3 linked regions of the Oryza sativa Japonica Group genome follow. The protein of the gene in region 2 binds, or shares a complex with, the protein of the main gene of each other region. Links are inferred from orthologs where the notes say so. Each region holds a gene or a part of one and is shown on either strand. Other genes may lie near its edges. The genes, in order: actin-related protein 2, actin-related protein 2/3 complex subunit 2A and actin-related protein 2/3 complex subunit 3.

Evidence for each region.
Region 1: actin-related protein 2/3 complex subunit 2A (region 2) and actin-related protein 2 share a complex: the UniProt entries of both Arabidopsis thaliana proteins name them as parts of the arp2/3 complex. The link is inferred for Oryza sativa Japonica Group from reciprocal best matches to the Arabidopsis thaliana genes DIS2 and ARP2.
Region 3: actin-related protein 2/3 complex subunit 2A (region 2) and actin-related protein 2/3 complex subunit 3 share a complex: the UniProt entries of both Arabidopsis thaliana proteins name them as parts of the arp2/3 complex. The link is inferred for Oryza sativa Japonica Group from reciprocal best matches to the Arabidopsis thaliana genes DIS2 and ARPC3.

What each region holds. Positions count from the first base shown.
Region 1 is NC_089042.1:17,332,837-17,343,556, forward strand, and holds actin-related protein 2, read right to left. Parts: upstream 5,616-10,720; 5' UTR 5,503-5,615; coding exon 5,461-5,502; intron 4,795-5,460; coding exon 4,684-4,794; intron 4,591-4,683; coding exon 4,456-4,590; intron 4,312-4,455; coding exon 4,240-4,311; intron 4,148-4,239; coding exon 4,069-4,147; intron 3,941-4,068; coding exon 3,891-3,940; intron 3,353-3,890; coding exon 3,249-3,352; intron 3,134-3,248; coding exon 3,065-3,133; intron 2,982-3,064; coding exon 2,918-2,981; intron 2,848-2,917; coding exon 2,779-2,847; intron 2,668-2,778; coding exon 2,584-2,667; intron 2,007-2,583; coding exon 1,948-2,006; intron 1,722-1,947; coding exon 1,655-1,721; intron 1,475-1,654; coding exon 1,391-1,474; intron 1,206-1,390; coding exon 1,125-1,205; 3' UTR 710-1,124; downstream 1-709. UniProt on the Arabidopsis thaliana protein: Functions as ATP-binding component of the Arp2/3 complex which is involved in regulation of actin polymerization and together with an activating nucleation-promoting factor (NPF) mediates the formation of branched actin networks.
Region 2 is NC_089035.1:27,105,412-27,116,396, forward strand, and holds actin-related protein 2/3 complex subunit 2A, read left to right. Parts: upstream 1-4,290; 5' UTR 4,291-4,466; coding exon 4,467-4,528; intron 4,529-4,611; coding exon 4,612-4,678; intron 4,679-5,308; coding exon 5,309-5,516; intron 5,517-6,052; coding exon 6,053-6,222; intron 6,223-6,402; coding exon 6,403-6,480; intron 6,481-6,769; coding exon 6,770-6,902; intron 6,903-6,985; coding exon 6,986-7,077; intron 7,078-7,686; coding exon 7,687-7,743; intron 7,744-8,224; coding exon 8,225-8,296; intron 8,297-8,366; coding exon 8,367-8,390; 3' UTR 8,391-8,806; downstream 8,807-10,985. Other genes in the region: membrane-bound transcription factor site-2 protease homolog, read right to left, coding at 1-62, 520-849, 974-1,405, 1,481-1,558, 1,852-1,999, 2,162-2,286, 2,338-2,412, 2,695-2,761 and 2 more; uncharacterized protein, read right to left, coding at 8,931-9,182; cytosolic isocitrate dehydrogenase [NADP], read right to left, coding at 10,190-10,274, 10,393-10,518, 10,727-10,869. UniProt on the Arabidopsis thaliana protein: Functions as actin-binding component of the Arp2/3 complex which is involved in regulation of actin polymerization and together with an activating nucleation-promoting factor (NPF) mediates the formation of branched actin networks.
Region 3 is NC_089036.1:7,664,413-7,675,364, forward strand, and holds actin-related protein 2/3 complex subunit 3, read left to right. Parts: upstream 1-4,398; 5' UTR 4,399-4,533; coding exon 4,534-4,536; intron 4,537-4,996; coding exon 4,997-5,105; intron 5,106-5,208; coding exon 5,209-5,478; intron 5,479-6,214; coding exon of another isoform or gene 6,215-6,225; exon of another isoform or gene 6,226-6,288; coding exon 6,289-6,431; 3' UTR 6,432-6,823; downstream 6,824-10,952. UniProt on the Arabidopsis thaliana protein: Functions as a component of the Arp2/3 complex which is involved in regulation of actin polymerization and together with an activating nucleation-promoting factor (NPF) mediates the formation of branched actin networks.

The sequences.
Region 1 (10,720 bases), on a different chromosome or scaffold from region 2:
AGATCGAAAAGAAAAAAAGAAGAAAGGCAAAAGAGGTATCCTGGCACGCATATTCAGAGGAATTTGATGGTACCGTTCGTTTCAGATTGGACTAGAACTCTGTAATTTTGGGATTCCTTTGGTTATTCAATTCTGGTTTCCGCAATCCTTACATTTTTGAATCATTGGAGCCACTACCCTGGCTTGGTTGCGTCTCATAAATTCAGAATTCCCCGCTTGCACATCATTGGACAATGGATTGTTGTTCACCAAGAGCAACATCGTATGCAAGGCATTTAACTATTGATTTAGCACAATATCTTCGTGTTAAATGCGGTGAACAATTCAAATTCTGCCAAACATCTTGTGTTAAAATGCGGAAAATAATTCAAATTCTACCAAACACGGAAAAGAAACAATTTCAGAAAATATATTTGAGCAAAGAGTACAATTTTGGAAAATGGAACATGACCTTTCCTAAATGGGCTGAGTTAAAGCACAGAACTTGCTAAAAGTTTGCAGCTGATTAAGAAACTCACAGATTTCTTGGATGAAGATAAATATAGGCAGCAAAAAGTTTCATACAACAGTAGAGAAGATGATTTTTACAATATAAGTGCTATGCTGAACAATTAGATGTTTTGTTAAGATTCACGATATACTAAAAAGAAGAATACAATATTGCGATCCATTGAAATATATGCCATCCGCACAAATCTCAAAGCAATTCTAATGTTAAGGGCTTCGTTGTAAATTGACTTTCCCTATCAGTAAATTGATTTGCCCTAGCAGTACAGGGACCAAATGAAGAGCATCAGCTCACCAGTACATAATATAGTAAGTAGAAATATGTGTTGTGTTCATAGGTATATTACCAATAGAAAATGAAATATATCTAATGTTTGCTCATCATGGTTATATGGTGAGTTTGTGTTCATAGTGGCTTCTAGGCTACAACATGCACCAACAAGTATCCTGAACAATAGGGACAACAAACAACACTATGTGCTCATCTTTCTACAAGTAATGTGCATCCATCATCTAAACATAGGTTTCCTTTTTGTCTCCTGCAAACAGAATGAGAGAGCCTTTCACATCTGCTGTTGATGAGAATCTAGGTAGGATCATAGGAACATACTCGACGGCTATGCTTGTCCACACTTCCTTAGGCACGCAAGGCCTTCTTCCTGGTATTCCTGCCTTGTAATCCAGAATTCAGGTGAATCCTGCTAGGTGAACAGCCGTCAGCAAAGTAATAAAGCAAAATGAGCAGATTCCCATGCGACAATGCACACACAGTAATGCATGATTTCATCTTTTGTGCTCCTTTTCTGTTCACCTCTCTACTTTGTCCCAAGGCTTTGCTTATAATAACCGATAGATATATAACGCTGTGGGAAAAGTATATTACCTTCATGATTCCAGCGAGTACTGCACCACCCAGGTAAACCATGTGTTTTCTCCGTGGCGGATCCTCTATCCGCAAACGCAATTTCTGCACATAGACAGAAGTGAAAATGGTCACATTCCTTACTGAAAAGACAACATCCATTATTGAATAAGAAAATGTGTTGCACTGGAAAAAAAACTTGGGAATTTCCTTGTGTTTGATTTCAATAAGCTTATGAAATTTTCAACTGTTGTCAGCTACAAAATAACCACAAAAAAATATTACCTTCAGTCCATCTTTGTTTCCCTTCAGAACCACATCAAGATAGCGATCAAGCATTTCCTTCTCTAGTCTTCAAAAATGTTGTAATGTGTTAAGTCATACCCAATATTGAAGCTTATAAAAACAGCTAAACACATACATTGGTAAGAAATAGAACAGGCAAAAAATCAGAGTGGCATAGACCACCAAAAATGATGTGAGCTTCAGTGTAAAAATAGTGTTGTTTGAAACTAATCGTTAATATGTACTGTAGTAAACAAAAGAAGACAGAGCGGGATATGTTTGTCAAATCTTACCGACTTGGCAGACCAGGATACATGGTACTTCCCCCACTCAGGACAATATGTTGATAAAGCTGCAAGATGTTATCCAGACATCCAATGAGAGAAGAACACATGATCCAATGCTTATCTAGAAGTACTTCATAACAACTTAAAATACAATTAATCAAGTATAGAGACTAACATAACTGGCATTTATTTGTCCCTTCTTGACTTAATTTACATTAACACATACACATGTACTAAATATGAAAAATTATCAACATTTGGAAGTGTGTTCAGCATTTGACAGTAATTCAACTTATGGTGTTTACCTGTGCAAGTTCTAATTTAAGACAACAACATAAAAATCATGTATATATGTAAGTGGATTTTTTATGCAAAACCATGGTCTTATCAAGTTGCTACCAAATAACAAAACAAAGTAATCCTAAATTATCAAAGATTATCTTATGCACAAATTCACTAGACAAGCCATGTGTAGTTGAATTCAAAGTGTGCCTTCGAAATTTCAATTGAAGACTACAGAGGTTCTATATCTAACTCATCAATTCATCAACAATGTTACAAATAAATACTTGAAGATAAACAAAAGCAAGTGAAAAGATTGGAGCAACAAAATATAGCATATTGTATGGGTAAGCTGTATACTGTCATCCGGTTGTCGATGTCCATTTCTTGAATGCAACGGAACGCCATATCTGCCATTCCATCACCCTCAACATCTATGAGTTCCTGCTCAACAAATGTTTTATCAATGTTATGTTGGTACTGATCCTAACAGAGAAATGCATGCCTTAATGTATATCAGCAAGCTATGAAAGAATAGTATGAGTACAAGCTTACAGGAGTAAAAAGAGCCTCAGGAGCTTGAAACCGTTCAGTGCCCACTTTGATTACCCTTCCATCTGGAAGCTGATGACAAAAGTTCAGCCAATAATACAAAAAGGGACCAAATAGAAACAAAGCAGGTTAACATACTTACAGTGTAGCTTTTGACAAGGATAGTGGTTTCAAGTCCTAGCTGGTATTCACGCTTGTAATCATAGCTGTACATATTTTCCCTTTTCAATTCTATGAAATGTGACAGCAAGCTATAGCGAAAACAATTAAGAACAATAAAGCAACTGACCTTAAATAACATAGTTTCTCTTTTATTTCCCGGACTGTTTCAAAGTCGGCAGATTTGTTCATAGCATACCTTTAAAGCACGAAATTAAGTTGATAAGAAAAACACTGAAGCAAACAATTGCATAAGCCTGTGTTTTCAGAGCATCTTTTATCTACAAACATATAAAAATGATAAAGAGTATTACCCTCTTCTTGAGAGTAGATCAACAAGATAAGATGTTATGTGCCTTCCAGCTACATTCATTCTTTTTGTAATATGTGGGTAAGAGAATCCATCAACTACCGGCACCTGGATCATAATAAACATGACGGGCAAAAGTAAATCTAGATAAAACTTTCTTTCACATTGCAAATTGACAATAGTCAGTATTCAATTGCTTAACTTTTTGTGCTTACTACTTACTACACACGTTGGTGATAACCTTACAATGTTAACTGGCTATGTGCGAGAATAACTAAACGGGCACTAGCATGCCATACTAACTATGGACTATGGAGTATAGTTTAAATTATCATTTTATTTCCATGATCGACATTTTGACCAGAAATCATAGATTATGGTGTTCAATGGCTGTGATTTCTACTAAGCCGCCTACAAGGAAACAAGGTATGCATATAGTCTTGGTCATACATCTTCACTGGATCAACAAAAAAAGGTAGATCCTCTTAGTTGTTGAGTTGAGGAATACCCATTAGCACAGTAGAAAATTATAAACATGCATCAGATAGATATTTTTGTAGTGCACCACAAGATTAACAGAAATGGAATCTCTGCATTTCAAATCTTTGTAGATTGTACAATATAGGGAAGACTATTATTATCATACCACATGAGTGACACCATCACCAGAGTCTATGACAAGTCCAGTCAGCAAACCTGGAAAGGATACAAACATAATACATGTTAAGAAAAGAACCAGTACATTTTGTGTTTGTAGGTGTGCAAGCTCATACATGTGTCTGTATACTGAGAGGGGGGGAAGGGGAGAGAGAGAGAGAGAGTACCTTGAGCATATAGCGAAAGAACAGCTTGGACCTGGATGAATACCCCAGCAAAGTTGTATTTCTCAAACATTGTCTCAATCTATTTATCGTAGGATTCAATTTGCTAGTTAGTGATATCTTAAAAAACAAATTTCATAGTACAGAACAGCCAGATGGGAGAAAACAACCTACCATTTTTTCACGATTTTTCACAGGATTGAGTGGTGGATCTGTCAGTAGAATTTTACACTCAGAAGGATCAACCTAAAGAAACAAAATAGAAATACATTGATTTACCTAGAGCTAAGAGATTTCAAGACACATAACGGAGAATGTTGATGAATTATGAGCATATAAATTTAAAAGGGTCTGATGTTAAAGTAATATAAATCATATGAAAAGTCATACTTTCAGCTCACTGTAAAATGCATGATCCCATATATGGCCCATATCATCCCAACTTTGAACAATCCCATTTGTAACAGGATATGATACGTCAAGTTGATGCCTCAAGTCAGCACAAGCCGCTCCAACCACAATATCCTGCGTGGAACACAATCACAATTATAAGGTGTACTGAGAGAGAGACAGAATGAGGGAATGCCAGAAACACAAAGATAGACATTGATTTCAGACCGTCAATTCCTGCTCCTGGAGTGACTCCTCATAACGGAGCAATGGTCGCCCAACAACACAAGGGAACACAGATGTAGGGAAGTTCTCTCCCGCAAAGCCACACTTTACATACTGCAACATTAGCCATTAGGTACCGAATTAGAAATTAACAAGATCACCTATGAATATGATATGTTCTGCTGTTGTTTAAGGCTTTAAGCATATCGAACATCAAGCCACAGGAATGATGTGGAAAATACTTAACAGAAACTAAGCCAAAGACAACAGCATAATTTCTTTTGGACCGCAAAATATCAAACTAATGTGGTTTATATGAATGAACATTATCTATTCCAGTTCCGCATTTGGAAGGACATTATCTAAAGATTCAACAGAGAACAATAATCTCATCGTATTACAGCAATTTTTCCTGCCTATGTGGAGAACAATAATTCCACCATACTAGAGCAATTTCCCCCTTCAATTTCTTGCAATGTGCACACGTATCATTTCATCCTAGATTAATTACAGCTCAGTAGTAAGCAGCAAAACTTATTCGGCACAAATGAATCTAGAGCACAGATGCTAATTACTCCCCAACCAAAGAGAGAGAAACAATCCTATCGTATATATTCAGGAAATTTCAGAAGAAATCCAAGAAACCGTCCAAGAAGAAGAACCGGGACGGAGGGGGTGCAGATCTAGGGGCAGGAGCGTGGAGGTAGAGAGGGAGGGAGGGAGGTCGCCACGCTGGATCAGGGATCAGGCTGCGGGAGGAGGGGGGGAGGGCGGGCTTACCCCGGTGCCGTTGTCGCACACCACCACGTTCCCGCTGTCCATTCCGCCTCGCCGTCGCCGTCGCCGATCGTCTCCCCGCGCGCGCTTGGGAAGTTGGAAGGGAGAGGGGGAGGAACAGAAGGCGAGAGAGTAGGGGAGGGACGGGGACGGGGTTGGGAGAGTAGTCATTTGTCTCACTGACACGTGGAGCCCATTGCCATCGGGCCCACGTGTCAGCGACCACGTCTCTCCGATCTTAAGCAAGAGGATTTTGATAGAGGGAGCTAAATGCCTCCTTTTAATTTTGTCTTCACAAAATTATCATCCAATAAAGGTGGTTTGTTATACTTTTATCTACATGGCCCGCTAGCATAGCAAGGTTAGCAATTTCTTTATATTTCATTTCTTCGCTAGCTGTTAAAGCCTAACAGCCACCTTAATCATAGCAAAGTCCCTATCGTTGTACCCGCTAGTTGTCAAACTAGCTCTAACATGAAGGAGGGCGTCAACCCTGACGATGAGGTGACCGCTTGAGCTCGACAAAGACAAGGTGTGCATCTTGGAACTTGGGTGGCGACGAGCTTGACGTCACATCCTAACCTGGGGAACCCTACGCCCTCTAGTTCCTCTGCCGCCTAGGTCTCTCTTCACAACTGTTGTCCTTGGAGACCCATTGTTATTAAAAAAATACCTCCACTTCTAAGTGGGGACTCCTCCTGCACCAAACTTCCTCTTATCGCCTGGCGAGTTATTTGGCCTCAACGCTTACCTTGTGCTAGAGCTCCTCCAACAATGAGCAGGCATGGTAACAGGGAGGCTTCCGGCAATTGGTAGGGTGGCTACCAATCTACAACGGCTAGCGAGGTGGCTATAAGATTGAGACGACCAGCATGAAGGGGGTAGTATGGTGAGATGAAGAGGGAGAGAGAGGCACTAATCGGGCGTTTAGAGGGTTGCCACCTAATAGTTAAATTTGTCCTCAATTGAAGGGACAGATACTCACCAAGCTAGCGCTACCGCTGGTCAGGAAGCCGAAGCCAGACTAGTAAAAAAACGTTTTTTACCAACGACCAAAGCCTGAGCTGGTTTGATTTGCTAATAGTATTATTTGATTCAATAAATGGAGAATGTAATAATTTTATATGTAGTAGATATAGTGATTAAAAGTATTTGTAAAGATTGAGCGAGTATATTAATGTAAGCCTGCATTTTACTTATTCGTCTTTTTCTTCTCAAATATTGCTAGACGTCTTCAAATTATATTAGTTATAACTATAGTTCACACAATTCAATAATTTAACCTTATTGTCTAAAATGATGCTATCTTATTACGATTGGGAAACTTTTGTTGTTAAGTTCTTAACACGATAAAATTTAGCTACAGGTTATAAGACCTACTCTCAATTTTATTTTTAATTTAACTTCAGAATACTAAAATAACGATTAGCAACTTTCTATAACTTAAAAAAACCAACGTATTTCACATATGATACAATTCAATAGTTTAACCTTATTGTCTAGAATGATGTCATCTTTATATGATTGCAAAACTTTTTGCTCTTAAGTTCTTAACACGATTTTTTTTTTAAGAATTACACGGTACAACACAGACACTCACAACGCATGCACACTCACCCCTATGAATGCGTGCACGCAAACCCTACCCCTATGAGCATCTTCGAAGGATGGGCCGGCAAATCCTGGAGATCTATAAAAACTACTCTCAATTTATTTTTTTTTAATTTAACTTCAAAATACTAAAATAACGATTAGCAATTTTCTGTAACTTAAAAAAACCAACGTATTTCGCATGTGATTACAATTTCGTGTTCATATCAATAATAGTAGCTTGTGAGATGCTCGGTATGTATCTACCCTATAGTTGAACAAATAGTTTTACTCATTCATCATATCACATATCCAACGGTCGAAACCCATCTGAAGATTTTGGATCCAACGTCCCAGATCAGCGCGCGTCCCACACCCCCCTCTCTGCCGCAATCACCGCGCCTCCTCCGCATTCGCGCGACCGCGCGCCTCTCTCGAGCACCTCCCGATCCGATCCGATCCAGACCGGATCGCTTCCCCTCCCCCTGGCAAATCACCGCCCCCTCCACCCGGATCCCTCGCTTCCGCGTCGCCGGTCTGCATTCGCGCCGCCCCCGGTCAGCCCGTATCGCCGGTCCCCATCATCGGCGGTGCCGCCCCCGGTCAGCCCGCATCGCCGGTCCCCATCATCGGCGGCGCCGCCCCCGATCCCCCTCGATCTGCACTGCTCCCGACGAGTTTAACCCTTGCGCGGCTCTGCTGGAGTGTGAGTGCAAGAACAGCGCCGCCGCCGAGAACACGCTGCTCCGGGCGGGCTACGGTGGGTGGCTGCTCTACTCGGCGGCGTCGGCGGGGGACATGGCGTTCGTGCAGGAGCTTATGGACAGGGATCCCTTGCTGGTGTTTGGCGAGGGCGAGCATGGCGTGATGGACATGTTCTACGCCGCCGCGAGGGGCGGGAACGCCGAGGTGTTCAAGCTGCTGCTGGACCACGCCATGTCGCCGAGGTGCTCGACGAATTGTCCCAACGGGGAAGGCGCAGGAGCGGTGGTGGCTGCTCCTCGGTGTTCTGGCTGGAAATGATGAGTAGGGCAGTCCACGCCGCCGCGGGGGGCGGCAGCGTGGAGATGCTGAGGGAGCTCATCGAGCGTCGCTCCGACGTGTCGGAGTATCTCGACTTCCGTGGATCCACCGTGCTGTATGCTGTTGCAGGTAGAGGGCAGCTAGAGGTGAGGCATCTACTTCTTGGCCATTGCTTACTTCTGTAAAATGCTTGATACAGTAACATTTTTCTTTGTGCCAATATGGATGACAAAGGTAGATCCTCATTTCATCAGAATGTTTGGGTGAAATATTTCCATACCCGATATCTTTTGACGTTATGAAACCCATTTTACCTTTAGATGCGCTGCAGGTTATTATCTGGTAATCGATTTCAACATAAATATTAAAGTTGCTCTTGATCATGAGAAAATAGATATATTAAGGAACAAATTATTTTCATTCGTCCTTTCTGAACAAATGGTTTGAGCTTGGAAGGATATTGTTCAGCTAGAATGCTGCGTGTTACCCAAGTAGACATAGAGATATGTAGATAGTTGTAATTAAAGAACATTTTTTTTATCTTATATAATAAGCATACCATGCCCAGATGATCAAGGCTCATTTAGTTAATATCGTCATGCTCAACTCTCCAGTGTATTATGAAGGCAAAGAATAAATATAAAGACCATACTGATTTGGCCTCTTTCACATGGACTTCAAGTTGTGAAATTCATGACCGGATTTTCTTTAGTAATTTTAGTTAGAAGCAACCCAGCGCTTCCGACTGAGATGGTTGTGCGACGACTGGTAGCGCCCAGCAGTTGAGTTCTTGCTGGACAACTGTGGGCGAAGCGGCAAAATGGCTCACGAAGGCCAGCGGCGGCTGGAAATTGACGATGAAGAAGCGGTCAGTGGAATTTCTCTTCTCCATAGCCACTTAGCCTCTCCTTTCAAGATAACTCTGTATGCTTGATGCCCCTCTAATAATAGCTTAGGATTTTTTGAGGCATCGATAGCTGCAATCAGTGCTCATGTCATCATTCAATGACCTGTAACAATTTCGAAAGAACTATGTTGGGCACCAGATGAACCCAGGCAGATGTTCTTTGGATCGGTTTTTGTACACCACAAGGTTCTATCTGCAGGAAATTTAACAAAAAATAAACTGGCCAACTATATTCGCTATGCAATGGAGTTTATGGTGAAAGCTCAGTTGCTTTTTGTTCCATGTAATATCCTTGAATTGTAGTCTGAAACCAACTTCTTAATATAATGGCAGAGCTCCAACCTTCAGAAAAAGAGAAAAAGTCACCTTCTCCTAACTTACCCACTGTGTTGTTTTTTTCCATTCACATGCGTTTGCAGCTTGGCAACTAGAGGAGGAGCTGACTTCTAGATTGATCTGCTCTCTTATTTTCCAACAATGAGCATTTGTTACAGGCAATGAGCTTGTACAGCAAAAAAGGCTCAAATATGAAACCATCTGTTACAGCTTATATGTGTTTGCATTGAATTAGCAAGTACAACAAAGAAGGCTCAAATTTCCCTTTTGTTATTGTTAATACTTCATGAGCTTATGAAACTATTTTAGTAAAATTCAATTCTCTCAATTCCTCGGCCATTGCGCCAAAAACGCAAGTTCCATTTGGATTCCCTTTTTATCAATGATAACCGCAGCACTGTTGTCATAGCGTATTATTATACCGTCTTCGCATTTGAACTCAGTAGTTCCTCATTGAAAATTAGACTCTATAGATATGGTAATATGGAGAATACAAAGTGGTTTGAAGCACGCACAGAACCGGAAGCGCCCTTTGTTTCAAAGAGATGACGAGTTATTCATATTTAATTTGATGGTCAGAAGACAATCTGTAGTTGCCGCCACCATCCCTCATGCCGATCTCCAGCAACGTGCGGCTGCTTAAAGCGTCACTGCCGCCGTCTCTCCAAATTGCACTCACGTTGTCTCTTTGTCGTTGAAAGGTCCTGCGTGCACGCTTCCTAAACTATTAGACGGGGCATATAGTAATATGATCTTATCCATTTTTAAAGTTTTTTTAGCTAATTGTGTTAATTCATCGTTCCATTTTACATGTGGAAGGAGGGATTTCTTTCTAGAGAACACAGCTCCACAGCCTGATTGTACCGGGGAAAAAATTGAAGCCGGACAGATACAGAGGTAAATATTAACAGGGAGGGGAAAAATGTAGAAAGGTGAGCCGATACGGTGAACATATCATATAAATTTTTTTCCCAACATGAAATTTTAAAAGTTATTAAAGACAATGGAATTGCACCGTAGCGTTTAGCACGGGCATATTACTAGTATACATAGTGCTAAAACGTATAACAGGCAAGCACCAGGTATTTGACAAAGAACATGGCATATGCAGGAAAGTGTAGTTACTTTATACCTGGTATGAAATTGTAATAATATGCTAATCAAATACGTTGGCACGCCATGTTCTTTGTCAACTGAAATTGTAATCATGAGTGCCCTTTGGGTGCTAAAGATCATGAGAAGCAGATGGGTAACTAGCTAATAAAAATCTTGCTCAGAAAAAGATATGCAATACTACTTCCTTGTCAAATGCCATCACCACTAGCACGTTCTGTTCAATCCTGTCAATTCAGCCGTTCCATGGATTCATGAACTCTGATAGTAGGGAAAAAGGGCAATTCGACTGAT
Region 2 (10,985 bases):
GTAAACCAAGAAAAGTAGCTTAACATAGTCTCCAAAATCGCTTCCCCGTCAAGAAAGTACACCTGCAGCGTTTCATGGTTAGGTGCTAAAAAAAGTACTATACTGTGCACGCAGTATGTTACTTTAATGCAGTGTAAATTTAAGCCAGGTGCTACAAAATCGAAGTGACTTCAGAAAAGAAGAGCATAGAAAGCTAAAGCATTCTGTAACCAATTGATTTGTATATGTTGGGGTTTCAGAAGAATACAAGGAGGAGCTTAAGCAAATAGCAACAACAATAGGCCAAACGGCAGGTTTCTAGCAAATATCAGTACTTCAAGGGTTTCAGCTTTCAACTTTCAACTATCATATCATGCATGTTTTTACTTTTCTCAAATTATTTGCCAAATTCCTTTGCTGCAAAGAATAAGATAAAAAAAGAAGGAAATCCTACATGTAGGGCAATGTCATGAGGCACTGAGGCATGATGTGAGAATGTAAGATGAACAATAAAGAATGAAACTTCAATAGAGAACATACTGGTAAGCAATTGACTACAGCCAATGCTGCAGACACACGAAATAAACAACTTAAACCATCTTGCAAGATACGAGGAACATCTGCAATGAAAAGCAAGAGAGGCCATCGAGGTCGGTAAGAGGATAACTTAATAGAATGTGCTGCTGATAACAGATCACCCGCATAAACAAAAGTTCCCTGGCAAGGACCCAATCCAGGGTTATTATTTCCATCATGCAGCAATGATGAGTTCCTTTCTTTCTGTAAGCACTCCAAAGAATAAGGTCTGGCATAAGAGATCTCTATCCATGAAATCCCAGGGCCTAGAACAGGCACCAAACAGTACTCATCCTGTCAGAATCGATCAAAAAATGTATAAATAAGAGAAAGGTAATGCAAAAGGATAAGCGATACTATAATAAGGAACCAATCCTCCAGGATTATTCCTAAGGGCTCTAATTCAGTGTTATTTTACCTCCAAACATGCAAAGTTGCTTCTGCCATCTTCGGCCCCCCGCCATCCATTTCCACATTTTTTAAGCTTGACAACATCTTTTGCAATCAAACAATATTTGTCTTCAACTTCCTTCTTGCCAATACCTTTCTCACTCATTCTTTGAAAGGCTACCAGATCATCTGGGCAAGATAGCTTGTCATTTATCTGCCAAAGATTCTTGCTTGCATCCATCCATGAGTTGGGAACACAGTAACCCTTTCTAGAACCAGTGGCACGATAGCCTTCAGAGCCTTCAAGGAGATCACGGCTGCTTATTTGTACTACATTGTCCTGAGTAAGCATTTTCATCCATTCATCAGCTCTTGTTATGTTCAATCCATCCACAGAAAGGATAAAATTGTGAGCAGACAAGTATCCTGACAGAGGAGATGCTTCTGGGACTCCTGTAATCTGTTCTGACAGCCTTTTAGAACATGAAGGATCATGGAGATCTAAATAAGGACAAGTTCAAAGAAACAGACTTACCATAAGACCACCAGTCACAAAGAGAGGATACAGCACCACAGGTAGTAATAATGCCATGATGACACATACTCCACATAACTATTAGACATGAAATCATAAATAAACATCATTATGAATGAACGTGCTTACAAAAATATGATAAGAAGCTGCAGCAGTAATGCAGAACTGCCGAACTGGCATTTCTCAAATGTGCTCCTTTTTTTAATTCACAACTTCTGGTCTCTATAGGTTAGCATGCATGCCACAAATACTGAAAATAGATGGAAATGCGCTTTAAAATTAAAAGGAATAGAAATATATGGTCAAATAAAATCAAGATATTTTACTTCTTTTTTAAAAAAAAATAATCCATGCACGCCAGCGTTACTTACCATAACATTATGCCAAATCCCTGCACAATAAATCCGAAGCATAGAAAAAAGAGGTAAATTTTGCAGCTGGTCACAGTTCAGAGCAATTAATGCCCCAGGAAAAAGTGCAGCTACGAATACCGCAACATACTCAATCTGTATGCCCTCGCTGTTGCATATTTAGCAATGAATGTGTCAGCAATGTGCGAAAGGAATACTGTAAGCGGGTGAAAGTTAATATTGTAAGTCAACATATAAAGTATGCCTTCTGCAAATGAATGCAAACACATGCAGAACATCTCGTAGAAAATGTAGGTCAGCAAATAAGGACCTTGCAGCTGCAACAGCATGTCCAAATTCGTGAAAAGCAATAGAAAAAACTGTTGATGCTATGATTGCTGCGATGTCCATTATTGATATGCCAAAGCTGGAAGCCTGCAATAGATTAAGGGCATGCTGAATGGTTGATGTTAGAAGTTGAAAAATGAAGGGACAAATTGTAGTCACCAGTAGATTTTGTAGCCAGGTACTAAATGACCGACCACTGAAATAAACTGCACCAATTGAGTCCCACAATAGCATCTGAAACATGCAACAGACCACAGTACATAAACGTGCACATTTCAAGGCAAGTACAACATATGAAACTTTCCAAAATTTTAAAGAAAGGATGAAGACCACTACTATCCCAGTGATATCCTACACAGTTCATAAAAACAAATGTCGAGATTGATAGGGTGTGCTGGCTGTTCTAACGATTTAAGCAACAATGTCAACAGATTCATGATATAGGTAAGGTAATGAACATTTTTTAGTTGGCATACGTATTTCAGAGTATTGGTAATTATTCGACACTGAACTTACCACTGATATTCCAACTAAAGCAACAACAGAGAAATAAACCCCTGCAGAAAACCATGCTCTCATGTATCTGCCAAAAAGAAAGTTAACTAATTTACCATAACTTCAAATATCTTGGCATCAGCATAGTGAGCAGCAAGGAAACTATCAATATGGTTACCCCATCAGATTACACCTCCCCAAAGGGGCATGAGCTAAAACTTTCAGCAACAGCGAAGAAATTTAACTCCAAATGGTACAGATGGCTCCTAGAGTGCATTTTTTCTCATTCTTTTTAAAGAAAAGAAACCTTTGCATCTTATGTACAAAAATGAAATAAGGTGCTAACTTGGCTATATTCTTGTTTATAGTATGTAAAAGTCCATGGGTAATTATATAAATATATTCCTCTTTTCGCGGGGAAAAAGGGTACAATATGCACATCAAAGAAACACTGAGTAATTAAAGAAGATAAAAGGTCAAAAGTTAAGATAAAGCATACCTAGCATATCTCCATCCCAAATTAAATATGATGTCATTGAAGGAATATATTTTGCAGTCACAGTACCTAAATTTTGTATAAGCACAGTAAGTGAATATAATAATCATTGCCTCCACTAATACAAAATGACAGGAGTAAACTGCATTGAAATATACAAGAAATTGAAGAATAAATGAAAGATAAAATACGTGTCCAACATCTCATGCAGTACTATATAGAGTCGAATGCAATTTTTCCATGATAAGCTGATAAGCAGATTTAAAAGGAACAGAGAAACTTGTTGTCCTGAAAATTAAAACCATTCTGCGGATGGCTAGATGCAGGGGAGACAATTCAATTTATCAGGATTAGGGCTGAGGATGAATGGTGTATCCCAACAGCAGGTCTGAACCAGTGAACCCAACAGGATACATCACTGAAATTTGGTAAATCGATACAACACACAAATCGAATTTTCACCAACTGTTGAAAGTGTACTACTAGAAGAATGGAAACTACAACATTGCCAACCCATGTTAAATTTCCAAATCAAGCTTTATAATTTCGCCTAACGGTTGCCCGCATCCTACAAGCTCTAAATCAAGCTCTGCTCTACAAGAAACCAATGTAAAAGTACTGGGAAAATAATTACGAAGAACGCAAGCATAGGCTCGATTTAGCCGCGACTTAGGGTTTGGTGAGGGTAAGAAGCTAACTAGTACTACTAAAATCTGACTAGATCGAGCGGTTTTGAGTCAGAATCTCTCTACTTCACTGACCAGCAAGAGACGGAGTGCTCGGCGCGGCGGGCGGCGGCGCTCGAGGGCAGAACTGGCGGCGCACGGCCACGCCGCCTGCTGCGGCCGACGCCGCCGATCATTCCAGCGGCGACGGCGACGGCTTGGACACGGCAAGTTTTGGGGGGGGGGGGGGGGGGGATTAACTGCGCAGGGCGGAAATCTCAGCCGTCCGATTCAGATCGGAGGGTTCATATTAGCGATGGATTCCACTACGCCGACTGCTTTGGCTGATTGGCTCTCGCATTGTCACATTTAGCAAAGGAGCCCCTCCAATTTCACCAGATTTACATCTCCACCCTCCTCCTCCTCGTCTTCTTCCTTCCTCTTCCCATTCTGCTCGTCCGTCTCCGATTCGCAGCCACATCGACAGATCCAGCCGCGCCCCTGATCCAGTGGTAGCTCGAGCGAGGCTGCTATCACGGTGGAGGATTTTCGTCTGATTCGAGGAGGAATCGGTCGGGTCGAGCAGAGGAGCGGAAGAAGAAAGATTGGTCGGAAGGAGGAGAGAGGTGGGGATGATACTTCTCCAGTCGCCGTCCAGGTTCCTGCTCCAGATCCTGCAGGATCGCGTCCTCAGGTACGTCGCTGCGCGGCCGACCATCCCCTTTTCTTGATCCCGCTCGTCGCCCTTAGCTCATGCGGGTTTTGTGTGGTTTGCAGTGGCGACAAGGGCGTGGACATCGATTGCCACACGGTGGAATTCGACGATGTGCGGTATCATATCCAGGTAAGTAGTACCGTACTGCCGAATCTGGATATCCATTCTTGTGTGCCGCCTTAAGATTTAATGTTAAAATTGAGCTTGCTATCTATACATTGCTGCATGTGTAGAATGTGTTATGCTATGTTAAATATTTCGGTGCAGAGCTTCGTTCAGTTATTGGTATGTTGTATGCACGAAAATAATACCAGAAACACCTGAACTAAAGAACTGACCTGTTTTCTGGTGCTGAATTGCTCCACGATCTCATGCTATCCAAGTCATTGTTGCTACTGTGGTAATGAAATTGTTCTATAATAATTTGGTAAAATTGGCATCATATATTGGAGTGGATTGTATTTCACCTTCTAATCAAGATAATGAGGCTGCCCGCATATCTTTTGTATAAGCAGCCTTCCATAATATTGGTGATCATTTTCACTTATGAGCATATAATATTATACCTTGCTTGGAGGGTTCTGTATTTCACCTTTAATCAAGATAAACTCCTTAGAAGCTTAATTATCATATTTCCTTTTTCTTTTATGAATTTATTGAACTCTTGACATTACTTCATTATACATGTTTTGGGTGTTGGGATCAACTATTACCTGCTTCATATTTGATTTCCTAATGAATGCTGGTCTTTGGTTCCAGTTTTCTATGAGGAATCCAAAGGTAATGGTGCTATCAGTAGCATTGCCCCTCCCACCTCCTGAGGCCATGCTATATGATGGACTTCCACTTGGTGCTATCGAGGCAATAAAGGCAGCTTATGGACCAGTCGTTCAAATTCTTGATCCTCCAAAGGATGGCTTTGATCTCACAATGAAGATAAACTTGACAAAGCTTCCGCCAGATGAAGGTTCTAGAGTTCCCTTTCCAAGGTTACCATTGTCTTGTTGTGCTACATGATTGAATTAGATGATGGTTCTATGTACCTTGAGATGTCATCCATTGATAGAACTTTGGTGCAAGCTAATGGTTAGAAATGGATTCATCGTTTACAAATAGATGCTTTACGAAAATGTCAAATATGTTATGTATAGTGCATTTAATTATCATGGGCTTCTCAGACCATAAATTGGCTAATTGTAGAATCTTTTAGCTATATGGATTGATTTTGATGCCTTCTGTAAATGAAAGAGAAATGGAAGTCAGTAGGTTTTGGGCAGTCCATTGAACAAGTCCATTTCTTGTTGATAGAAGGAATTCTCATATTTCTGTTATACTGTCAGACTTCATATATTTGCTTGTAGATACTTGCACATATTCTTCCAAACATGGTAATGGATCAAATTACTGTTTGTGATTATTTATTTTGGTCAGGCCTATCAAAATCATGGAATCTCTATGTGTATCTTGTAACCATTATCCGGCTAACACTTTAATGTATTCCAGAGCAAAGGAATGCTGTCTTGACTCAAATTGCATCTGTGAGAGAGGTGGTGCTGGGTGCACCACTGAAACTTCTGCTGAAGCATCTAGCTTCAAAGACGGTGGCTCCTAATGTTGACAAGCTTGTTGCTCTTGTTCACCGTCCTAATGAATCCTTTTTCGTTGCTCCCCAGGTATAAATTTGAGAACTCCTATAAATGTATCTATCATACTTCAAAGCATAGTTTTCCTTTGGCAATGAACAGCTAGGTAGGTTCTTAGATATATCAATCTAGATTAATCTATTTAAGAGTTATGTATTTGACGTTTACTTTCAGTTCATACAGTCCATGAGATTAATTTCTTTTTCACAGGCAGACAAAGTTACAGTAGTATACCCTATGAGGTTCCAGGATTCCATTGATATAGTTTTAGCAACTTCCTTTCTGCAGGTATTTTGGACACTTCCTTCTTGTCTCTTTTATCTGCTTCAAGCAATTCATTTTCTAGTTTTTTTATGATCATTTATAGACATCTTCAACAAACCGATCTTTAGGCATTTAGCACTACTTTCATTAAGACTTGAACGGATATATGCCTTAACTTAATGGTTTTGTGAAAGTTTGTCTTGAGGCCATTTCTTGATGGCATAACCATATTATGAGAAGCAACTTATGGAAGGACACAATATGATGGGGCAGCTCTGCCTATTTTGTTTTAAACTTTTCTGGTTAAATCTAGGAATTTGTGGAAGCAAGGCGGACTAGCGCTCTTAACAACGCCCCTTCCTGCTTGTGGTCTCCAGTACCACCTCTTGAGTTAAAAGGAGTACCTTCTGATGCACTAAATGCAAATGCCGGTTTTGTTACTTTTGGTAATATGCATTTAAGCGTTTTCTTCTGTTTTTCTTTTCTATTGAAGACCCCTTTTTTGTCTCACTAACTCATCTTTATGCAGTTGTTTTCCCGCGGCATGTTGAGGGTAAAAAATTGGACAAAACAGTTTGGAGTTTGTTGACTTTTCATGCTTATGTAAGCTACCATGTGAAGGTAAGGTCCTTTTTTCTTATGTTGGCTGATCCATACTTCTCAATTAATCAAGTCCGTGCATCTGTCATCCATAATTGTGAATCAACCAATTGCATCCAATGCGCAGATTTTCCATCAATGGGTTAAATTTGGCTTAGTGAAGATGAAAATCCATTGTTTAATACTGAGCTCTACTGTTATGGACTATTTCCAAGAAGATAATATTCTTTTGGTTGCAAATGGCCCCAAGGAACACACTATTTGGATCTTTTGACCAGATTCCTGCCAAAATACCATCAAATTTTCCTAAGTCTATTCTGGGTGAATTTTTTTTCCAAAGATGAAAAATATCTGATTTGCCCAAGACAGCTGATATTGCTATTGCAGAAAGCCACCTTGGAACAAATTGGAACATTTTTCTTAAGCCACCTTCAGCATGGGATTTTAAGATTTTCATGATTCAGTAGTTGACACGGTACTTTATTGGGACATATTTTAACCTTGCCACAGTTCTCTTGTGCTCGCTTGTGAAACATTTCTCTTTGGCTTATATACATGATTTTTACTCTTCCATGACTTGTGGTTTTTAACTTCACAAGTTCTCAGTCCCTTCTGTTTCCTGTATGGCAGTGTTCTGAAGGATTCATGCACACCAGGATGAGACGTAGAGTTGAGACGCTGATCCAGGTAATACAAACATATCCGTACTAAATTGATTTCCTTCAATATATCCTATGGATTATTTGTTACCTTTATTCAGCACCTTTCGCTCTCAGCTTTGAGTGGTTGTGTAGCGGCAGATGCGGGTTTAGTATCATGAAACAAATAGACTACAAATCATTGCTGTTAATTTCAGTTTACTGGTTTTTCCTTGCTAAAAGGCTGAAAGCTGGTGATGCACCGAGACCACCTGAAATAAACTGATAGGCCATATCACTCCATGCCTTAAACTGAGTATATTTAGTGTGCTAGGAAATTGGTCATGACGGTTTTCGGGCTTTCAAAGAAACTAAATTACGATTGCTCGCATCTAATCGATAACTATTTGAGAGCTACTGCTATGATTCATGGAGGTATCATGGTATCATGTTGTGAAATAACATAGTGACTTGTCCCATGAAGAACAGCACTGCATAACTATTGTTTTGCTGATCGACCTTACGTGCAGGCTTTGGATCGTGCAAAATCTGATGCAGAGAAGTTGAAGAAGTTGGTGAATGGTGGATCTTTCAAAAGGCTGGTTTGTGCAAATACCTTGAATTCGTGCTTAAACCCATCTTTTCTTTCACTGATTAAGACTCTCCTCGCAGAGCTTGAATAATGACGGCAACTAGCGTCAGCGAAGATGCTGTCGGTGTGTCAGTAGAAGACCTTTTATATCCTGGGACCATAGAGCCGCAGCTGGTGAAACAGAATCAGCATCCGGCTGTTCATCGCTTGTTTCTTTTTTTCCGGGAGGATATTCTACCTTGCTGAATTGAGGGTGAGGAATAGATTAAACTGAATTGACCTTAGTGACTTGCGACACCATAACGGCGTATCACCTGAGGACGCTCATTTCTTGTTGGCCCTCCTACATCGATCCATCTTTCTACACTTCCTTCTATGTTTGTTGATTGATCCATCGGCCCAAGTCAGTCTAGGCTATTATGAGTTCGATTTTGTAAAATATTGTTTTCTATAGCCTGTCAGATGATTGTTATTTTCATTGTAGCTGTGCTGAAATGGAAACTCAAGAGCAGTTTTATTACATCATTATTGTTACAGGCTCACACACATGGTGCTCTTACAAACAGAAGAACACTCTAGGCGCACGTACAACAACAAAGTAGCAGCACCATTCTTTCTACCGCACGGTCTTCACGTGAACGATATCACGCGCCGGTCCCGGTGGCCCCGGCGTCGGCGCCGGCGCCGTGGCCGACCTGCTTGGCGTCGAAGGCGCGGTCGTCCACCTTGCGCGCGGCGGGCTCGTCGACCTTGTCCTGCACCTTGTCGATCTGGATGGCGCCCTGGTCCTCCCGCGAACGCAGGTCCGTGCGCGTGCGGTTCTCCCCGCCGCCCACCGACTCGTACGTCGTCGGCGTCGTCTCGCCCATCGGCTGCGCGCCCTGCGCCCCCGACATTGCTGCAAAAGGCTTGGCTCGGCTGCTGCTTCCTTCCTTTACGCTGAACTCTCGTAGTCTCGTGTGGCTGCTGAGGGTGACGCCTCGCCGGGAGAAGCGTATATATAGCCGGGCTGCGATGTCGCGCGGGAGGTGTGCTGCGTGCACGTGAGGAGGCGGCACGGCGGCGCGTGGCATGGGTCAGGAGGAACGTGGCGGGACACATCGGCGTCGGCCGCTGGACTCGTGTCGCGGCAGCGCAGCTCAGGCGACCGTGACGTACGATTTGGCCGGCGCCCAGTAGTCATGCAGCAGGATAAACATCACAACCCAAGGTCTGCACATCTGGGATAATGGCCGGCGTGCAGGATAAACCACCTGGCCTGGTTGTTATCCGGCGGGTGAGGGGTGAGAGCGCGTGCTGCCATTTGGGGCATACGACAATGAATAAAGCCACAATGGCACAATCCCAGCACGACAGCAAGTCGATAGGTATAGGCTGACGCGTTACAGTTTGGAAAAATCCTGTGAGTTCAGAAGATATCGTCCCCCTGCACGGCTGGCATGAGGGCTCTGCAAGGCTGAAAGATCATACGCTGCTGCTAGAAGCATTTACAGAAGCTTCACAGTTAAAACCTTACTTCAACCTCTTTACGACAACACAATTAAACTTCGAATTGTGCACCATGCTTCCTTCAGCCCAGATTCCAAGGTACGAATTATCAATCAAGAAATTATCAAACCATCCAAATGAGGAACATAGATAATTTTCCAGTCGGACGCTAACTGATAGGGATAAAACAACTATCAGCAATGACAGATTGTTCTATATATCCTTTATTTGGGAGGTCCCGTCTACGTGATATCAGCATCTATGGACTGCTTGGATCGACAACAATTTGTACCGATGCTGTAAATGTTCATTCAGTCCAGAATGAGAACTCGAATGGTAATGGTGATACAGCCAAAATGACTTTAAAAGAAGGGAAATGAAGCACTGAAGTTGGCAAGAGTATCTTGTAAAAAGCTCAGTTGGCTGCCAGTCTTGACCGGAGCTCCGCAGCAACCGCATCAATGAACTCTTCAGTGTTCAGGTAATGGCTTCTTGTGACGCTACAAGTCAAAAAGGAAAATAAATTAAACAGAATGAGTTCTTTTATCATAGCTACAAAACTTTGCAGAAAAACACAACTGAAGTGCATGAGGCAAAAACTGAAACAGCATAACATACTTTGAAGACCCGTGAATAAGAAGAGCAAGGTCTTTGGTCATCTTCCCAGATTCCACGGTTCCAACGCAAGCAGCTTCAAGTTTTAGTGCAAAGTCAAGAAGTCTAGCATTGTCGTCAAGCTTTGCCCTGCAGTGCACAAACAGTGCATTTGCCATGAGTTAATCATCCAACTCAGAGAGCCAGACCCAAGCATAGAACGACATGAGCTACTTCGCTATTTTCGGTATTTGGCGAAACAATAAGATGATGCTAATTCACCATATAGCTGACCAAAGATAATACTTCTAACAAATAATTCCAAGTGCTAGAGACATAAAGTAGGTAGGACTTGTACCTGTGTGCAAGTCCTCTGGTCCAAGCAAAGATTGAAGCAATGCTGTTTGTGCTGGTTTCACCTCCCTTCTGGTGAACACGGAAATGACGGGTAACCGTGCCATGGGCAGCTTCAGCTTCAATTGTTTTTCCATCAGGGCACACCTACATATTAAACAAAGTAGTGTCATATATATTAGGCAGGGTTCAACCAAAATTAAGGCTTTCCACTGTACAGAAGACAACACCCTAAAACAATATATTTAATATTTAGTCATGAA
Region 3 (10,952 bases), on a different chromosome or scaffold from region 2:
CTGTAAAGACATTTTAAAACTGTCTTTATAGTATTAGGAAGGCATTTTAAAAATGTCTCTATAGTATTAGTAAAATCTCTCTACAAGGTATATTTGTTGTAGTGCAAACACATCCTAATTAGAATATCATCACTCACTTCTTGAACAATCCTATCTTCCTATATAAAGCAAAGCATGAAAGAAGCCACATCATGGCATGTAAGAAGCCACATCATCAATAATTCTAATTCGTAGAGACAATTCACCAAATGGCACTTATGAGACACTCTTCAAAATGTCTCTATAACACTGTAAAGGCATTTTAAAAATGTCTCTATAGTATTAGGAAAATGTCTCAACAATGTATATTTGTTGTAGTGCAAACACATTCTAATTAGAATATCATCACTCACTTCTTAAACAATCATATCTTCCTATATAAAGCAAGTCATGCAAGAAACCACGTCATGGCATGCAAGAAGCCACATCATCAATAATTCTAAGCCGTTGGATCGCATTAGTACATAGTTATCAGCCGTTGGATCAAGAAGCTACTCATCTAGTCACCTTCTTTTAGATTATAAGTAGGCGTGACATTGTTATCCATTCTGTACATAATATTATGTTTTCTCCTCCCAAGCAATCCAAGATAATGCAAACTTATCTTCTTTATTTAATATGAAATTATTATATAAGATATGAATTTTGTTTTGTTATAAACAATTGGATAACATAGAGTAATTAGGCATTATTAATCCAAACTTATTTTTGAAATAAGCTTGAGATAAAGTAAAGATGTGCAAACTACTCTAATTATGACGGCATGTATATTGTGCATGAAAATAACTTACGTATATCATAACAATACACAATGACGTTTTAAAATAATAAAACATGAATTGTATTGTAATAGCAGAGGCTATATATGAAGCCACATTATCATTTATTTTGTTTATATACAGAGTTACATCTAATTATTTAAAACATTGATTTTATTTGATGATAAAACTAGCAAATCCCGTGGCAAGGCGCATGGTGCCAACTAGTATATATAGAGCATTATTATCATTGGATTCTCAACAAGTGTCGATCTCTAATTCATCTATAAAAAATTATATGATTATTTATAGCATTCTAGATTATGTTTAATAAAAATATCTTTCCACTTCTTAGAAAACTAGTTAGGTACCTTATATAATTACAATATTATTAACAAATATACTAATTATTATTTACTCATGTAAAAACATAGATAATATATATTACAGAGCACACACATATGAGTTAGCTACTAGTATTCATGTGCAAGTACTAGTGCTGATTGTAGCAATATTATTATAAAAAATAAATAAGAATGAGAAAGCGAGAAGAAGATGGAACAACAGAAGAATATAAGATTAAAACTTTAGTTTTACACCGTATTAAGACGAAGAACAATTTTGTTAATATTAGTATATTATTGATTAATGTGAGTATATACCATACCATGAATGTGAGTAACTTTTTCCCACGTGTGTTTGAGCTAATGACTAAACCTCCTTTTTTTTTCTTACCTTCTTTCGAAGTTCTCCTAATGTGTTCGGTAAAAAAATGTTTTGTTTTGAATAAAATAAAGAAACATTTTTTGACTAGATTATTTTTTAAGAGAATCCACTATGTGCCGCTTACTTTGTCCTTGTACTATAATATGGCACTGAGTTTGTTAAGTTATACAATATGCCATCGTATTTTGCTTAACCTCTATAATATACGTCACCGTCCATTTAGACTTCGTTAGTACTGTATAATTTTGTTCTAATGACCGAAATATCCCCGGGACAGAAATTCCAAAATTTGGCTGAATATTCTGAAATATCATATTATAAACAAGGCAGAGAAGATATTCATCTCAAACTTTGGAAGTTTTACAATCTGATATTTGGAATTTTTCGTCCCATGGCTATTTCGGTCATTATGATAAAATTATATAATACTAACAGATGCTAAGTAGACAACGATGGTATGTTATAGAAGTTAAACAAAGTGCGATGGCATATTAGAACTTGACAAACCTAGTGACATATTATAGAATAAGGACAAAATCAATAACACACGATGGATTCTCTATATATTTTAGGAAAAATTAGAACCATGCCATTATAATTTTGCAAAATCTGATATATGTCATCCTGACCCACATGTCATTGACTCATGTGGGTCCTACATGTCATTGAGATACCGATGGCATATCTCAAATTTTGAAAAATTATAATGGCATGGTTCCAAATTACCCTATATTTTATGGTTGTTTAGTTCATTACCTATCTACTATCGTGCAACATTTTTATAAAAAGTTAAATCTTATGCTATAAGTTCATATCATACACATTAAATTACATACACTTATAATATAATTTTCAAATTATACAATGCCATCTTCACATTTTATAGGAGAAATATGAAAAATGATTTATTATCTATTTAATTATGAGAAAAAGTATTAGTCCAAATTAATGTATATGTAGAAAAAAATAATATGAAAGAATTACGGAAATACCTACAATCGTATATCATGCAGTAAGAAAAGGAGACCACAATCGAATCCCTTATTGTTGAGCAAAATTGATGGCATTAATTTTATCTTTTTTTAGCTAAATCTATCTGACTATAATTAATCAGCCCGTGTTAGTAGAAGTCTGCATCTTCATGCATCAATATATCATAACTCATAACTCATAAGACTATTAGTAATAGCCAAGTACACTGACCCAACAATACTTAATATATCACAAGACTATCGGGTAATGGACAACTCATCTTTGATTGTATATCACAGGAGTATCGGATAACAGACAACTCATCTTTAATTGTGCTAAAGAAAAAAAAGTAAATTATAGTTCGTACTATGTATTCTTAAATGTTTTCATATTATGTCAGCCTTTAACCATTCTTTTCATTTACAGAACAACTAACTTTACATTTCAATTTGGACCAACCTATTTCATCCATCTCCAAGTCCAATGACTCTATAACCACACACTAACTCTCTCTTTCTCTCCATTTTATTTTCCCCCGATAGTTGGGGAACCGCTAGATCCAGCAAGAAGGAGCCTGGATCTAGCGTCTCCACTCTTCATCGGGTCGACTCCTGCCTCCGTGAGTCGCTACAATAGTATGCATGACAAGAGGGAGAGGAAAAAAAGATGGCTCATGGAGTGCAACTAGAGGGTGCAGTTGCGCATGCAAAGACAGAGAGGAGAAACGATGGTGGCTCATAAAGAAAGAGTGGTGGTGGCGGTGCGTGGAGTAATAGTTAGTGGTTACTGGTAGTATGAAGAGTTTGTTGTCGACTCAAATCGCTAACTGAGTTTGTTAATTTTTAGAATGTGGACCACTAGTCATTATAAAGAAATAGTCATTATAAAGAAATAGCTAGTCTTATAAAGTAGTAAAATATTGAGATATCATAAAGGTGAGAGTACTCGTCTAGAGCTTTTAACTTTTTACCATTTTTAAAATATGGTAATTAAGAATTTACTACTCACAATCTATAATACGTGGATCCTTATGTGTATATGACACGAGAATGCTCCTTCTCGGTCGCGCGAGGGGAGGGGAAAAAATCGGTCGCTCCACCCTTCCCCCATCACGTGCGCACCAGCAATCTCTTTGGGCCCCCACCACATGTCCCCTGTCCCCACCTGCCACTTGTCCACACACACAACTCTATTGCAACAAATCACCCACATATTTTGAAAACCCTATATTAAGGGAATTTGGTTTACTTTTTGTTCCACCAAAAAAGTTTCACGTAGTGTACTCATAATGTTTCACTATGTATAGATCTAATGTTGCAGTGAACTAAAATATTCCATTGCAACAAAAAAACCCACATATTTTGGAAACCCCCTATTAAGGGAATTTGATTTATTCTTTGTTCCACCGAAAAATGTTTCACCTAGTGTACTTATAATGTTTCACTATATATGGATCAAAAGTTGCAGTGAACTGAAACATTCTTTCACTATTTGCTGAAACATTGTTTTTATATAAGGTAAAACAACACCCAATTGAAACGAGTGAAATATTTTCGATCTACTTAGTAAAACAATTCCGATATACCTGGTGGAACATCGTGCAACATTTAAAAATAATTCAATAATAAGGTAAATTTTTTTTCGTCGAAATATATGCCTGTGTGGCCTTGTTTTGAAGATTTAATTGCAGCGAATTTAATGATGCAATCGGATTATGATATGGATAAGTAATTTAAGAGAAAAATCAGTTTAAAATAGTTTTTCACGTAAAGCGTCCGATTTTTCTCCAAACCGATCAGACGCACGATCCGTAGACTCGTCCGTCCGTATATACATGTGGGACCAGCGGTAAATTCTTAATAATTCCCAATAGTAAGAGTCTGAGCGTCTTCCCCTTCCCTTTGTGGCGTAAAAGAAAGAAAAGAAAATCTCCCGTCTCTTTGTCTCCTCCGCTCCTTGCGCCGCCGAGACGAGTCGCGGCTGAACAGGGGAGGGGCGGCGATCTCCATCGGGGCGAGCAGAGCAGGGGAGAGGATTCATGGTGAGCATCCGCATCCTCTTTCTGATTCATCTCTCTCTCTCCCATCGGGACTACTTTTGTCTGGAATTTGCTTGCGTTCGTTCGTTCGTTCGTTAACCCTAGCTTCTCTTCTAGATCTGGAAGAAGCTCTTCCCTTAATTTCAGAGCCTTAACCTTAATACAAGTAACAGTTTGTTTATTCCCCGAGAAGTTTGAACCCCCATGTCCCAAGTTGGATCCGCTCCTGTACATAATATTGGCAGCTTGTGGCACTCTTGAATGGAGGTCTTGGAAGATACTTTAGTACCTGTTCTATTAGATTGGTGTGTTATAGGCCCTGTGTGGAATACAAGAATTTTGCTCGGTTTTCACCTTTAATTTTCCTTGTATTTCCACCTTGTTTTGTTAGATCGCTGTTGCTCACTTGCTTGCAATGTACCGTTATCTGAACATCATATGCTTTTTTTCTACTTGTGGACAGGTTTATCACTCTAGCTTTGTTGATGACACCGGGATTACCAAAGCATGCGGCTGTCCTTTGCTTCCACTAAAAACTCATATAAGGGGCCCAGCGCCAGCATTCGATCAAGGTATACTGACACGGTGACAACATAAAATACATTGTGATATACTTCCGTGGTTTCACTCTGACAGAACCATGCCAAGCTGCTGATTTATGTCGTGCTATTACAGACAAGGCTGACATTGTTGATGAAGCAATTACATTCTTCCGAGCAAATGTCTTCTTCAAAAACTTCAATGTGAAAAGCCCAGCAGACAAGTTACTGATCTATCTGACATTTTACATCAATATTGCCCTGAAAAGGCTGGAAGGTTGCCGAACACTGGCTGTTGGGACAAAGGCAATCATTAATCTGGGTTTGGAGAAAGTTCCTGTGCCTGGGGAACCAGGGTTTCCCTTCCCTGGTCTTTTCACTCTACCCCAATCTCAGGAGGAAGCAGGTATATGACTTCATCCGCCACTACCACATTTGTGTGCTTGTATTCTCTTTTACTCCCTCCGGGTTGATAATACTTGTCGTTTTGGACAAGAGCACGCTTTCCAAAAAACAACTTTGGCCATTATTTTTAATTATAATATGTATAAAGGTGTTAACAAATATATGATTTTATTAAAGTACTTTTTAAGACTAATCTATACATGTAGTCACCATATTTTAAAAATGATTCATAATCAAAGATTCTAAAATTTGACCTCACCCTTGTCTAAAACGATAAGTATTATCAGTCCGAAGGGAGTAGTTTCTCAACTGTGTGAAATCATTGTTGCTTTTTATTCCTAGAGAAAAGCTTGCCTTATTTCTCGAATAGTTAGTTTTTCTTCTTTTCCCCCAATTGTTTATCCATGCTGCTTTTCTTCTATACCATACTATTTGTCCTGGCTAGGGAAAAAACAAAAGAATGAAGCCTATTGGAAATTTAGCTTTTGTGAGATTACAAGGGGACCTTTCCAAACTACAGCAATTTATGTCTTAGATACTTTTATTTTGGATTTAACTAAATCTGTAGTGAACTCCTTATTTGATGTCCTGTATATATGTTTTTTTTTTGTCAATTTCTATGGTCTAAACTATAAGTCTGCTCTGGGTATAGAAGCAATAAGTTGCTTACTGACTATTGACAACTGTTTTTAGGAACATCCAAGTTGTAATTGCATCAGTTTTTTTTTTACTTCTAGGGACTAAATAAAACAGTAACTTTCCATCTCTCATGGAATGTGATCTCAATTAAGCATTTCTCTGTTGGATTCAGAACTATTGAGGAATTATCTGAAGCAGATAAGGGAGGAAACAAGTGGAAGGTTGCTTAACTGCGCATACAGAGCTAATGGTACTCCAAACAAATGGTGGTTGGCTTTTGCAAAGAGGAAATTCATGAACATTGTCATTCTTTGAAGTATAGGTATTTTCCGCGACATGTTTGAGCAATTGAGCAGCTTGTAGGAATGGTAATTGCACTTGCGTACTTATTTCTGCGAATACTTTAGAGAATTAAAGGAACGACAATGATTCTACACCTCGATTGATGGAGCCAAAGGTTCTAATGAAACAATGGATAGAATGTCAACAATTTGTTTATTGCAATGGATGAACACAAGGACACCTTTCAGCTGTTATGTTGAATTTCTATTTTTCATTTTTATTGTACTCCGTCCGTGCCCTTAAATTGGGCATGTATTTTTCAGATGATGTTTGAATAGCGAATGTTCCGTGTAGGACATTTGTACAGATTTAATCAGGTGTAATGAGAATGTGAATATATATTTTCCTGATCCCTCTTTTTTGTATCATTCGTGTTAATCCTTTATCTGTTTTTTTTTCAATATGATTATAAGATATGGAGAAACCTGGACGTGCGCTTCCCTGATCTTGCCAAACGTTGGGAGTAAACTGCTGCTTATAAACACCTCAAGTGTGAATTGGCATGGTTAATTTCATTATTCGATGAAGCATTCTTTGATACAAGGTGCTTATAAACGATTTGAATGCAAAGCCCATTGCATCACTGAGACCTGAGGTGATATTCAAGCTCTATGGCTTGTCAGTCACCATGTCATTCGACACAAAGGATATCTAATGCCAGGTGTTCATACATAGATTCAGAAAAACAAAATATCATTCGACACAAAGGATATCTAATGCCAGGTATTCATACATAGGTTCAGAAAAGCATTATTGACCACCAACGCAACGCCCAACAGAACTGTTACATTGTGTAAATCCTCTTCGACAAAAAAAAAAGAAAAAAGAAAAAAAAAGGAGAGAGAGAGAGAGAGAGAGAGAGAGAGAGAGAGAGAGAGATCTCAACCTGATCACAGAGTTAAATCCCATGACATAAGGACATCAGAAGACTAAAATGTCGTTTTTAGCGTGTTTTTACCATCTAAAAGTTCCATCATCCTGGCATGAGCAAATCCAACGTGTTGCTTCAGCAATCTTCATCAGAGTATAATAAACTGGCTAATTCAACAACCATCTCCGGGTCTTCCTTTCTACATGTTTGCCCAGCATAGTAAATAATATGTTGGTGTTCAAAAACAGCTAGGTTTGGAAATTAGCCCAGTTACAAGCTTTCCAGATAGCATTGCACAAAGATTCTCACCAGTAAATAGCCAGTTAGTTATGGTTCTGCAAATAAGGCAGAAAAGGGGGCTTTACATGTGACACAAAAAACAGGTTCAGTCCATGCATTTCTTACCATATTACATATATGAAGATAGCTGGCTAAAAGTAAGACGAAGCATGATATGGTTGAAAGCATCAAATTACTTCCACAAACACTACACAGGATAAGAAGAGGAAACCTCTTTATTGTTTTTAAACCCAGACCAAATTTTGCAGCACACCTCAGATGAACATGTTTCCAAACCTCCCAGGCACCTTCTCAAATGTGTGGTCCTGAGATATTTAGTATTAGCATGAAATAGGTACCGTAATTTTTGTTGGGAATCCATGCTATAATTTTCTAAAGAATGATGATTATATAAGCTAATAAAAAGGAACTTGCTCAAAAACCAAGTAACTAACAAGAGATATTACCCATTGAATGGATGAGATAATCAATCAAAGTATCAAACTAACGATGTTGCAAAGAGCATGTATGATAAAATTGTCAGGCCATCACAGTTGGTATGTGTCACACAATCTCATTGGTTGAATTTGATTTGAAAAGTTAAATTTGTTTGAAATGGTAGGCTTGTAGAGATATGGCCAAAGATATCCACAGCTTTCAATGGAAGTTATCTTTAGTCCCCAGTCCTCTACAACACATCTATCTACCAAGGATTGTACAATGGAGATAACTGGCAATAAGAAGGGCTACCACTCAGCATACAGATATTAGTCTAAATCATTTGGACAAAATTCCGCTGCTAAAGCAAATTCATTGGTTCTAGCACAAGGCCAAGGCTATGGCATACAGCATGTGATGGAGTTCTGTCAGATGCTATCGCATACCTTCATGTTCAAGAGCCGAGCAAAGAAAACATATGTGCAAGGAATAAAACACCATAGTGATCTGTTAAGACTTTAAGAACAAAAAGGAAAAGAAGCCAGTGCCAGTAGGTTTGGGAATTAGCAATTTATGATTTTGAGTCACATGCAGTAAAGTACCCACATCCTAAGTGACTAAGACACTGGACGAAAATTAACTCAGAGTCTATGTATAGAAACAGTTGTTGACCACGCTACAACATGGGTATGATGCTATTTGTCTGATTTTCCAAATTTAAACTTGTCAGTTTCCTATGCTGCTATGAAGTGATTATTGAATCTCCAAATCCAAAGTTGGTCTTGTTTATAAGGATGTAGAAATAATTCCAGAGGTTTTTGAAGATCCATGGAAGAAATACCATGCGTGCATTCTACTATATGACCCAAAACGGCAGCTACATACTCAAAGACATTGGAAGATCAAAGCAGGGTTTATTCCAAATATCTTTGAAGATCAAAGCAGGGTTTATTCCAAATAGCAGTGCAGTTCACGTCTGCCAGGGATAGCCATAGCATTGCTGGCAGATCCTCCTAGAGCCATCAGCCTCCATGCCAGAGAACTCATGCTGTGATTCTCACAGAGCAATATAGTACATGCTACATAAGAAAAATATTCCATTTGTTATTTACCTTATGTCCACACTCTTCTTTGGCCACAATCTTTTCCTTGTTTTGTTTTCTAACTTACCAGGCATTTATACATAATTACCTATAGCAGAGTCATAGACACAGACAAGATATGCATATATACTTCTAAATCAGCAAGTGCTATTTAGACTTCATTTACCTTTCTAAAAAAATGAACCATATAAAAATAATGCTCACTATTATCATCTGATTAAAAAAGGTCTAGCTTTTTTCCACATATATTATTCCCTTTAGTTCTATTGGTAGTGCAAGTTTGTAAAAATAAATATCAATAACAACACAAAATGATAAGTTTTCAAATCGAGTCAATGTACATGCAACTAACTGGTGGACCACATGAATCATATTCTTTATCATGTGAAAATGTCCATGTATATTATGCTTTGCTATATGGAACATCCTTGTGGATATTCTTCCTCATTTCATGCCCTTTCAAAACTCTGGAGAAACCTGATACACAACTTATTCTTTGGAGAAGTACCAAAAGATGTGCGGATCAAGCAGCTCTTGGGCATCGAAAAGCCGCATAACACTTACGAGATCAAATCGTTAGTGCAACATTGACCGGAACATGCTTACCAACAAAGTCAAAGATTTCAGTTTGCACAACCACTGAACTTCTTTGTCTTAGTGTTCTCTCCTTCCAGAAGGTCTCGCATGGCTTTACAGTTCCTAAAGAAAAGTAGCATAACTGATTAATAAGCAGAACTGTCCATAAAACAACCAAATATAAGTTCATCACTGTAATTATGATCACAAACATCTTAAAATATGCTTCATAAGTATGTCTAGTAGTGTTTCAGTGAAGAATAACACTTTGTAGAAACATGACTCACTTTTCATCTTGGGCTCTTAGCTAATTCATTACTATCAGCATCCCTCTTCTGCCCATGATTGATTCATCAACCAGAACTGTTTTGACACGGCTCAGAGTGCTCCCTTTTCATCCAGTGCTAGTCACGTAGTGCCCCATATGAACCTGGCTCAGTTGGTATGCCAGTTTTAATTGGGATCACTATTAATATACAGAACCATAAAGGTTTTAAGTCATGTACACTTCACCCACCTGCATATGTTTGGAGCTAATTCTACTCTTGAAGGTGTAAGCATACATTTAAAGCAGATGGAGAAGGCAGTGCAAAGATTTTAAATTAACTTGCTGTATTCTGAACTGCTGGGTTACAATTTCCTATTGTACTTGTATGACAAAAATGGCACTTTAATTTGTACTCTGACTCATTTCAAATCTAAGGTTTGTTTTTCCAAACACATCCTAGGTGGCATAAACAAAATATAAAGTGGAAAACGTCCATAAAACGAATAAAACACACACACACACACACACACACACACAGAGAGAGAGAGAGAGAGAGAGAGAGAGAGATTTCTTAGATTTTGAATCATTGCTCATGGCCAAACCACATCAAAGATTGATTGTAAAGTTTGGACCTTCGGTGGTGGGGTGTGTGGGTGTGTGTGTGTGGGTGTGGGTGTGTGTTGGGGCTATGGGGGGATGTGGAAAAAATGAGCCAATTTTTAATACACCTAACAACGGTATGATGTTTTTACTACTGTTGAAAATACAAGTTATATTTATGTTCCATTTCATAACTAACAAGTTCTCTTTCATGTCACTGCTTGATAATATCATAATAACATTGTTTCAGATTTCGGCAGTGATTTGATCTGATCAAAACCATATGGCGAGCTCCTCAGGCTGCATGTACAAAGTATTACTTTATAAAAGTTGTCCTTTGCTGTGAAAGAATCAGATGC